Callithrix jacchus: one gene and its partners. The protein of the gene in region 2 interacts with the protein of the main gene of each other region in a pairwise test. Links are inferred from orthologs where the notes say so. Each region holds a gene or a part of one and is shown on either strand. Other genes may lie near its edges. The genes, in order: ACTL8, CERT1 and RTN3.

The links.
Region 1: the proteins of CERT1 (region 2) and ACTL8 interact in binary tests that used the Homo sapiens proteins (3 or more experiments, as listed by UniProt). The two-hybrid records come from large-scale screens. The link is inferred for Callithrix jacchus from reciprocal best matches to the Homo sapiens genes CERT1 and ACTL8.
Region 3: the proteins of CERT1 (region 2) and RTN3 interact in binary tests that used the Homo sapiens proteins (3 or more experiments, as listed by UniProt). The link is inferred for Callithrix jacchus from reciprocal best matches to the Homo sapiens genes CERT1 and RTN3.

What each region holds. Positions count from the first base shown.
Region 1 is NC_133508.1:54,714,962-54,717,812, forward strand, and holds the end of ACTL8 (actin-like protein 8), read left to right. Parts: intron 1-1,360; coding exon 1,361-2,116; 3' UTR 2,117-2,245; downstream 2,246-2,851.
Region 2 is NC_133503.1:135,566,810-135,571,238, reverse strand, and holds the start of CERT1 (ceramide transfer protein), read right to left. Parts: upstream 2,914-4,429; 5' UTR 2,512-2,913; coding exon 2,416-2,511; intron 1-2,415. UniProt on the Homo sapiens protein: Shelters ceramides and diacylglycerol lipids inside its START domain and mediates the intracellular trafficking of ceramides and diacylglycerol lipids in a non-vesicular manner.
Region 3 is NC_133511.1:120,771,000-120,774,652, forward strand, and holds part of RTN3 (reticulon-3), read left to right. Parts: coding exon 1-942; intron 943-3,653. UniProt on the Homo sapiens protein: May be involved in membrane trafficking in the early secretory pathway. Inhibits BACE1 activity and amyloid precursor protein processing. May induce caspase-8 cascade and apoptosis.

The DNA of each region.
Region 1 (2,851 bases), on a different chromosome or scaffold from region 2:
ATTGCCTAGTAGACAAAGCCTTATTGTTATTATTTTTTAATGCTTTCCAAACATCAAGACAAAACAGGAATTCTGATATTTACAGTTTGGCAGTGTGCTTTCCTACTACGGCATCTGAGTTAAGTCGTGCAGCAGAGATGGTTTGAGACCATATATCAAGTTAAAGGCTAAAATATTTACTGGTGTGGGTTTGCTAGATAAAATACATGATGCCTAGACTTGAGTTTGAGGGAAATGACAAATAATGTCTTCGTATTTAAGTATGTCTCAAATAGTGCATGGGGCATACTTACGCTACAACATTATTTATTGTTGATCTGACATTCACATTTAACTGGGCATCCTGTAGTTTCATTTGCTGGATTTGGCAACCCTTACTGTCTATCCCCTTACAGAAAATGCTTGCGAGGCATTGAAGAGGAAGTTCCTGGGGAGTTTTAAATGGAGAGTTGTAAATGGGGCAGTCATGTCTGATTTTCTATTTGAAAAAGAGAACCTTGGCTGCTATTTGGGAAATGACTGGGCGGGAGGAAAATTTTCTGAAAGTGGTAATAGAGGGAGCCCCCTCCCACTGAGGGAAGAGGATGGGCTTGTGGGGGCTTGAAGAGGTGAGTAAGTGGTTGGGGCCACAGAAGTGTTGACTGTTATGATCTTTCTCCTTCTGTGGGATTAGAACCTTAGACAGGCAGCCAGAACTGAGGAATGGTTGGCAGAGGGGCTTCATAAAGATTCAGGGGGTAAGGGGCAGGGGGAGAAAACCAGCCCAGGGGCTCTACCAAACCCTAAATATCAGAATTCCAGGTTTATCTTGACATTTGTAAGGTTTTTATTTTAAAAAAAGGATAAAATCAGGCGCTTCCTACCAGGCAGTGGGCATCCTGTCTCTTTTCTTCCTTTTCTGCCTTTTTTCTTCCTTCTACCTGTTGTCTTTCTTTCTTGTCTCTCTTGTCTGTCCCCCTCCACCTTTTGGAGGCAGTGGTGGATATCCAGCACTTGTTTCTTTTCTAGTCTGTCTTCCTTCTTCTTAAGTGGCAGTTCAGGCTGCATGTGTGACCCGTGGCCATGCCGTTCATGTAGCCGGCATCCCAGAACTGTTTCTTGCAGCCACAGAGCTCTTCTCACCTCTCCACCCAGGTGGTCTGAACGGCCACGAGCAGACAAGCTCCTGAGGGCTAACCCAGCTCCCCTTCTAATCCTCCAGAGCTGCTGCTTTATCCTCACTGCATGAGCTCCAGTAGCTCTGGGCACAGCATCCTGGGGCAGCCTGAGGGTCCCCTGAGGTCGTGGGTCTGTGCTAACTTCAGCTTTGACGGCTGAGCAGGCTGGGGAATAGCACTGAGTTTGCTCTCCCTCGTTGCAGATCCTGTTTGAGTTGCTGCACGTCCCATCTGTCCTCCTGGCCGACCAGGTACAGATGTCCCTGTATGCCTCTGGCCTCCTGACCGGTGTGGTGGTCGATTCTGGCTACGGACTGACCCGCGTGCAGCCTTTCCACCAGGGCCGCCCCTTGCCCTACAGTGGCAAGACGCTGGAGTTCGCCGGCCAGGATCTCTCTGCCTACCTCCTGAAAAGCCTCTTTAAGGAAGATTGTGATAGACGCAGCGTGTTTCAGCTGGAGACGGTCGCTGTGACTCAGATGAACAAGTGCTACGTGCCGCAGAATCTGGGGGAGGCCCTGGACTTTCGCGAGAGCCAGCAGAGTGGCTTGAATGAGAGCAACACCTATCAGCTCCCAGACGGCTCCCGTGTGGAGCTGACCCCCATGCAGCAGATGGCTCCTGAGATGTTCTTCAGCCCACAGATGTTTGAGCAGCCAGGGCCCAGCATCCCACAGGCCATCCTGGAATCCCTAGAGTCCTGTGAGATCTCCCTGCGCCCCCTGCTGGCCTCCCACGTGATGGCCTGTGGGGGCAACACCCTTTATCCCGGGTTCACAAAACGCCTGTTCAGGGAGCTGATGATGTGGGATTATTTTTCCTCCATCAGAGCCACGGTCTGGGCAGGTTCCAATAGAAACTTCAGTGTCTGGCTAGGAGCATCTGTGGTGGCTCACCTTTCTACCTACCAGTCTGAGTGGATGTCCCGAGAGGAGTATGGTGAGCGTATGAGGGTATGACCCTACTGGCTCACTCCTGAGAATGGGCCCCTGTTAGATGGGCATGGGGGGATTAATTCCAGCAAAATGTTCTGGGCAGGGGTAAAGTGAGATGGGGTGGGGTTACCTGGCTTCGGAATTATGGGGTCATGAGGGTATTTTTTAGGTTTTAAGGTTTTATCTTGTTGCAAGAGTGGGATCCACCCAAGGGGGAAGATAAGATGTCATCCTCAGAAACCCTACAGGGGACAGTTTTTCCAGAGTGGCCTGCCACTGGAGTATGAGTGGCTGGCTGCCATCTCCATGTCTGATAGCCACTGGTTTTTCATTGGCATCTCCCTTGGCTTGTCTCATTCTTCTTAGTTGAGTAGATTTTAAGTGGGATAACCCTTCTGCTAGGAGTCCCAATTATTTTTGACTAGGGGATGGGGGAGAGTTGACATTTCTGGTCCCACAGACCCTTTCTGGCCTGTGAGGCATTGCTGCAGGTGAGCCTGGGATGCCCTCGCCACCGTTCTTCCTGTCTGTCTTCCTCCACTTTTGGATCCACTGGTTGGATCTTGTTTTATATCTGCAAATAAACAGCTTGTCTGGAAATAGTGCTGGCTCCTGTGGTGGATGGGGGGGTGGACCCTTGGAGAGACTCAGTGAGTGTAAGTGTGAGAGAGCCACGTGGCAGACAGGCAGGCTCTGAGGTGTCGGGCCCATGAACAGTGGCTGCCACTGAGCAGGATGGGCAAGGGTCTGGACCTCCTG
Region 2 (4,429 bases):
AGAAAAAGGTACATTTAGAATAAGAGTCAGAAGCAAGCTACAAACAAAATGCTATGGGAATTCCAGTGAAGGAGGTCTTGAATGACGGTGAAATAATAAAAGGCTTTATGGAAAAGACAGTATTTGACTTAGACTCTTAAAGATGGATAGAACTTCAAGAAAGGTGTGTGGAAAAACAGAAGAAGGAAAACCATGAGGGATGGAGGAAATTCAGAAATTGAATGAGACTTATTTTATCCAGACTTAGCTGCTTTTAAGTCCAACTAAGGCAAGAATTTTTTCCCCACCATGATCCATCATGATATTTGTTATAACCACATAGAATTATTGTATATCCAGTATTTTTGGAATCTATACTCTTAAGTGATTTATAAGAAATATGCCTCATAGGTATTTCCATGTATTTCAGACTACCAGATGGAAAATATGCTTTGAACTGTATATTTTTAATATAAATTTACCTCAGCCCATTCAAAATCCACCCCATTTTGAGGGAGAAACAAAACAAACTGCACTGGGACTTATTTACATTACTCAATAAAAGGAAAAGAACAAAAGCCGAGTTCTGACCCTTGTTTAAATTACCAGGTGAATACAAAGAATTCAAAATATATAGTTTACATTTAAAAACATGTACCATACTCAGTATAAGTATATATATTCAATTTAGAATACCTTTGATTAAAAAGCTTCCAGAAAACACTATATGTAACCATAAATTGGTAAATCTCAGGAAAAATTTCCTTCAAAGCTATTAGCAAGAATAATATCAAAAGCTTTATTCCTATGGATTCTACATAAGCACCAACAGTCAAAATAAGTTACTCCCCTTCCATAAAGGTGTCAAATACATTTTTACACATTTAAATATCGAGATTGGTCTTCCATTTTTTGACCTATAGTATACCTACTCCACATACAGTAAATACTTAGAACACTGGTGACTTTTCCCTCAGTCACTCCACTCCCCCTACCCCTAAAAAAGTAATTATCAGTAGGTTAAAAGTACAATTTGTTTTGCAAAATACTTAACACACCACAGTACTAGTATGGCAATCGGCTTCCCATCTTATGAGCAGTGATGAAACTATCAAAATCACTGAGAAGCAAGTAACCCATTTCACAACTATTACCAACTGAAAATGTATACCTATTATACAATGTGTTCAACAGATTCCTAAATTATAGGATACATTTAATCTAAAGAAATCCTGAGGAGCTTCACTTTACTGAAAACCTTGCACTGAAATTTCAAGAATGATCACATCACGAATACATAACATAATTTTTCTGCTATACAAATAAAAGTCAACACTTTCAATCCTTAGTTCTGACTACTCGTGCTTTTCCTGGTCCCCTTTCTAAAGACATTATAAAAGCCTAATATGAAACAATTCCACAAATAATGTCCAAGTGATTTGCCAAAGTATGAATACTGGAAACAGGGTGATTTCTTAATAGCCAGTCTGCACATGACATAGTATCTTATGACCAGCTTGTTGTGGGACTGGCCCAGCTCTCCCTTTCCAAGTTAACTGCTAGCTCCAGCCATTTCTAAAAAAGTTTAACAGGAAGGGAGGGAGAAGTCAAAAAGGCGATGTGAATCTTCTTATAGCAAAAACTTAAAAAAAAAAACAAAAAAACCCACAACCATGTATTATCAAGAGATCACCCATCTAAAGTCCTAGAAATGACTGCTTTGCTAAAATTTTGATACAGGGATTTAAAAAAATATATAAAAGGTGAAATATCTTTTCCTTACCCCGGACCCCTTACCGCAAAAATATTTTATTATTAAATAATGCTCTTCTTCCTGAACTAAAGATCAGTCTCCATTCTCACATGTTCCAAGTTACTATTAATATTTCTTGTGCCTATCAGGTGCTGATTCAATATCTCTCTTCTAAACTGGGGTATAGGGTGGAGAAAGTCCTCCACATTCATCTGTCTCACTACATCTAACCTGGCATAGTTTAGCACCTCAAATTTCAACACCAAGCCGAGTCGCTCCGGCTTCTATCGAAACAGTTGCGTCCGAAGTGCCCCCCAACCTCAGTGCCAACATCCTCAGACAGACCAACCTCTTTTAAGAGGTCCGACTTGAACCACTCCCAGTCGTTCGGACACCGCTGAAGCCCAACCCGGATTCCTTAGACCCGAGACAGCTGCTGCCCTGCGTCTCAAGTCATCTCGCCTCCCAAACCGGATCCCAGGTTGACACACGCTTTCCCTGGTCCTCGGCTGCCCCCGACAGTACCCCTATATCCCCACCTCATCCCCAGTCGCTGCGGCAGTACTCAGCCCCGCACCCCAGCACGTTCCGCGCCTCCCGCCAGCCCCACCCCACGGCCTCAGCGGATTGCCTTGCGGCAGGTGAGTCTGGCCAGAGGTCCCTTGGCACAGCGGGTTGCTCACCTTACTAAGGACCCCGCAGCGCTCCACCGGCGGCCCAGACTCCGTCTCTGGATCCTCCTCCGAGCCCGACGAGTTCCAACTCTGATTATCCGACATGGAGGCGCGACAGCCGAGCAGGAGACCGGCCCCCGCTCCCTCAGCTGCGCCGGAGGAGGCGCCCAGTCCTCGGGGTGAAGGGTCGGGGATGGCGAAGCGAAGAGTGCCCGTTCCGGTATGGGGGGAAGCAGGAGGAGGAACGGAGTCCGCCCGCCGCGCCGCCGCCGCGCCTGACACCGAGCGGAGCGGGGAAGGAGGACAAGTGGTAAAGGAAGTCTACCCTTCCAGCCGTCAGCCGCCGTCGCCGTGACCCCTGCGTTGCGCCCGGCGCCGCCACCTGAACTTAGCCTCCTCGATGCCAATTCCAAACAGGGAAGGAAAAGGGAGAAGAAGGGAAGAGAAAATCCGGCCGCCGGACCCGGGTCCACTCACACCTCCGCTACAGCCGCCATCTTCCTGCCTGGCCCACTATTTACCCTCCCCTCCCCTGTCCTTTCCCCTCCTCTACGTCCTCCCATTCTCCCTCCTACTCTCCGCCCCGTTTCCCTCCCGGCGTCTGACGCAACACGCCGAGCGTTCGGAATCCTCCTCCAGCACCCTACCTCCGGCTCTCCTGGGTGACGTCAAGTATTAAAGTAGGAGGAGCGGCGCAAGGAGAGGGCGGGAGAGGGGCGCCACTCTGTTGAATTCTGGGAAGGGCGCTGGTCTGTCGATCGCGCAGCCTCCTGGGAGTTGTAGTTGCGATCTTGAGGTAACGGGTGAGTATCCCGCGCGGGCATCGCTTGTTGTCTTGGGGACTTGTCAGTCGGTGGGTGGGCTTCGTTTGACAGTTGCGTGACTTGCCCCTCGGCCTCGTTTCTCTCCTTACCTTGTGTGTTTATGACAAACTCTACGGGCTTGCGGGCCCGGACGCAAGAGAACTTTCCGCTGAGGATGACGGGCCTGCTTTCTTGGGCGGCTTTTCGAAAGCTCGGGAGCATCTGGCCGCTTCCGCTTCAACCACGAGCTGAGGGTTTTCTTTCCGCCTAGCTGTAAATCTTAAGGGTCTTGCTAATTATAAGTTCGACTTCACGTTTGACATTTACCGCATTTAAAGGCAGAATTTCCTCACTCCCTTCTCGCAAGCACGCACTTCGCATTTTTTGATTTCTAGAGTTTTCTTTGTGGAAAGTAATTTTGAGGTTGTCAGATAATAAATGACGTTAGAAGAGTTGTTAAAGTGAGTGGCAAGGACTATAGGCACACACCACTAAGCCCAGCTAGCCCAGGTATTGCTGTGTTGCCCAGGCTGGTCTCAAACTCTTGGCCTCAAACATTCCTTCCACCTGACCTCTCAAAGTGCTGGGATTATAGGCATGAGATACAATGCCCTTCCACGAACAAGTCATTTGATTTGAACTTGCTTGAAATTAAAGCAAGCAATTAATTAATTTTTTGTATTGTTTCCCAGGTTCCTCTTGTTAATGATTTCTACTTTTATTCCATTGTGTTTACAAAAGATAATGTGATATGATTTCTACTTTTTTGACTTTGTTGAGACTTGTTTTGTGGCCAAGATGTGGTCTGTTCTGGAGAATGTTACATATGCTGATGAAAGGATTGTTCTGCAGCAGTTGGGTGAAATGTTCTTTAAATGTCAATTAGGCCTATTTGGTCTAGTTTAACCCCCCTGTTTTTTTGTTTATTTTCTGTCTGTATGATTTGTCCTTTACTGAGAGTAGGGTGTTGAATTCCCCTACTATTATTATGTTGCACTCTATCTCTCTCATTGTGTCCATCAATATTTGCTTTATATACCTGGGTATTCTGGTATTGGTGCTTAGATATTGTTAATTGTTATATTATTTTGCTGAATTGACTTGTTTATTCTAATATTGTGATATTCTTGGTCACTCTTTGGAGTCTTTGACTTACAGTAGTATTTTATCTGATATGATAGCTACTCCTGCTCTTTTCTGGTTTCTCCTTGCATGGAATA
Region 3 (3,653 bases), on a different chromosome or scaffold from region 2:
GTGAAAGAGAAATCAAAGAGACTCCCAGTTGTAAGAGAGAAGAAGAAACATCTAAAAACTTTGAGGAGTTGGTCAGTGCTTCTGAACTACATCAAGATTGGCCTGATACTCTTGAAAGGAGTCCAGCTGGTGAGGCAGCATGTTCAAAAGTACCCAATATGAATATCTCTGTAGATGTGAAGCAGTCAGATAAAGTGAGTGAAGTTGTGCCTGAAAAGCCTATTACTACTCAGAACCCCAAACTTCCTTCAGTGTCTCCAGATGTTTCTAATGAGACAGAATTCTCATTAAATATGACAACATCTGCCTATTTAGAGTCATTAGATGGGAAAAATGTTAAACATATAGATGATTCCTCCCCAGAGGACCTAGTAGCAGCCTTTACAGAAACCAGAGAGAAAGGAATAGTAGCTAGTGAAGGAAATGCCTTTAAGGCAGGATCAGAGAAGACCACAGACTTTAAAACAGCTCTTCCTGTAGAAAAAGTCTTACGTGAAAATGAGCCTGGTGGTTCTGAAATTAAAGACATTGGAAGCAAATACAGTGAACAAAGCAAAGAAACAAATGGAAGTGAACCTCTAGGTGTTTTCCCCACCCAAGGTACTCCAGTAGCATCCCTTGACTTAGAACAAGAACAGCTCACAATCAAGGCTCTTAAAGAATTAGGTGAAAGACAGGTTGAGAAGTCAGCTTCTGTACAGCATGACACAGAATTGCCTTCTGAAGAAGTGCTGAAACAAACTTTCACATTCGCTCCAGAATCTTGGCCACAGAGATCATGTGACATCCTAGAACATAATGTCAAGAATGGATCTGATCTTGGGATTTCCCAAAAGCCCACTGCTATCAGAGAAACCACTAGGGTAGATGCTGTTTCCAGCCTTAGCAAGACTGAATTAGTAAAAAAGCATGTCCTAGCAAGACTTCTGACAGACTTCTCAGGTAACTATTCACATCAGAATACTGCATGTGGTTAATTCTGTGATTGATTATTTATCAGCATGCCATTTATGTTAGAGGCCGATTTATACCTACAGATTATGGCTAGAATATAATATACTGTATGATGGGAAAGGCAGATTCTTCTTCTCTCTCTCTTTTTTTTTAATAATGATTGTTTGATTTGGTTTCCTTAATACCAGTATTTCCCAAAGCAGTAGACCACTTTGTAAAATTAATCTTCCCCTAAAATTTTTTTCTATGCTCCAGTTATATTTCAAGGTATGTCTTTTCTTATAGGTTGGCCCTAGGGTGATATTAGGTGAGAACCTAATATCATCAGGTTCTTACTTATTTACAAAGCTTATTTCTAAATCTTTATAACAGTCACACTTCTTAGCACTTGGGTTTATTGATATGGACATTGTGAAATCTTAGCAATCAAAGATAAAGGAATTCCTGCTGGGAAAGATAGTAAATGAAACTTTTAATTAATGTGATCATATACTACAGAGATTTTATGCTCTGAAAGTAGGTAACCAGTATTGTAGTACTATTTTATGAGTAATACTTAGGAAAACTCGTACTTTCTTCTACTTTGTATCTTACTTAATATTCTTCAGGCCAAAACTCATTGTTAGATGGTACCAGAAACCCCTTCTCTTGTCTTCTATTTCAAGTGATCACTTTTATAGCAAGTGGCTTTCAGTTAAATTACTGCAAATACTGTCTATTCTGAGGTCTTGGAAAGTACAAGGAAAAAAAAAAAAAAGATCTTTCAAGCCTTCTACAAGAGACCCCCAACCTTTAATGTAATACCAAGTTCTGCATCTACCATATGGTCAGTGTTAGGTGCTATGTAGAGATCTGTGGTTTTTAAACTTTTTTGATTATAGATCCTTTTTTCAAATGAAATCATATACAGAGTTGTAGTATTTACAAGAAAGTGAGATTTTTGTTAGGCTAAACGTATTTCGTGTTTGATTATACTATTTACTTCTCATAAAGGCATTTCCTTACTGGAGACCATAGGTAGACTTACCTTCTTAAGTTTTAATATTTAAAACAGAGAAATTGTACTTAACCTTATAATGGTATTGTGAGGATTAAATATGGAAATGTAGGTCAGGACGGTAACTCACGCCTATAATCCCAGCACTTTGGGAGGCTGAGGTGGGTGGATCACCTGAGGTCGGGAGTTCGAGACCAGCCTGACCAACATGGAGAAACCCGTCTCTACTAAAAATACAAAAGAAAAAAATTAGCCGGGCATGGTGGTACATGCCTGTAATCCCAGCTACTTGGAAAGCTGGAGAGGCAGGAGAATCACTTGAACCTGGGAGGTGGAGGTTGCAGTGAACCAAGATTGCACCGTTGCACTCCAGCTTGGGTGACAGAGCAAGACTCCATCTCAAAAAGAAAATACAGGTAATTCAGTGCTTAGCACATAGTAAATACTCAGTCAGATTTAGCACCACATACATGGCCTGGTACATAGTAATAAGTACTGGATAATTACTTATTGAATTAATGACATGAATTATTTCACTAATAATTATCAGTGAAGACATTGAGGCTTTTCAATAAACCAAAATTTTTGAATTACCAATTAAGGATAGCTGTTACACTCTAGTATTTGAAGCTCACTGAATTTAGATTAAAGAGTACTAGATTCTAATTCTTGCTGTACTGTGCCTAGAAGTACGACTTTGAACAACTAACTTAGATAGGCTTTTGGGGGCCTCAGTTTTCTTATCTGTAAAGTGAGGATCTTGAAGTAGATGATCTTCAGTTATTTCAGTAATGTGATTCTGTGGCTCTGGTACATTCTAGATTTCTTCCTGAGTTGTCATAATTCTTATAGGTAGTAACTTTTGAGTAATAAGTCATATTGGAATTATGCTATAAGAACTCCCGTGTCTAATTCTGGCAAGTTCCTGCTTTAGCGTGACCTTAGATGACTAGTCTAATTGGTTCAGCGTCTTCCTTTGTTAATGTGATGATCATTATTTTCCCCTGCTTTGTGTGTTGCAGTAAATAAAGTGTTGTGTAAATGCTAATTATTAGTAATTCTCAACTGAATCATTTAATCTAGCATGAGAGATGAAAAGGGCTATGGAAGTTCAGGATATTTGTCACTGATCAAATTCTATGATTAGTATGTATTTTTAGATGATAATTAAAGAAGACTGGTATAGTTAGACCAAGAAATTTAAAGGTCTTTCTTGTAGCTTTCAAAAGTGAAAACCTTTTTAAATTGTCTTATTTATGAGTACATCTTTTAAAATAACCATTTCATTGCAATGAACCGAGATGGCCCCACTGCACTCCAGCCTGGGCAACAGAGCAAGACTCTGTCTCAATAAATAAATAAATAAAAATAAAAACCATTTCAGTAAAATGCATCAGTGTCTAGTTTTATTTATTTATCTTTTTTTTTTTGAGATGGAGTCTCATTCTATTGCCCAGGCTGTACAAGTGGTACAATCTCAGCTCAGTGCAATCTCCGCCTCCTGGGTTCAAGAGATTCTTGATTCTCATGCTTTAGCCTCCCAAGGAGCTGGGATTACAGGTGTGTGCCACCATGCCCAGCCAATTTTTTGTATTTTTAGTAGAGACTGTGTTTCACCATGTTGGCCAGGGTGGTCTCAAATTCCTGGCCTCAAGTGATCCACCGCCTTGGCCTCCCAAAGTGCTGGGATTTACAGGCCTGA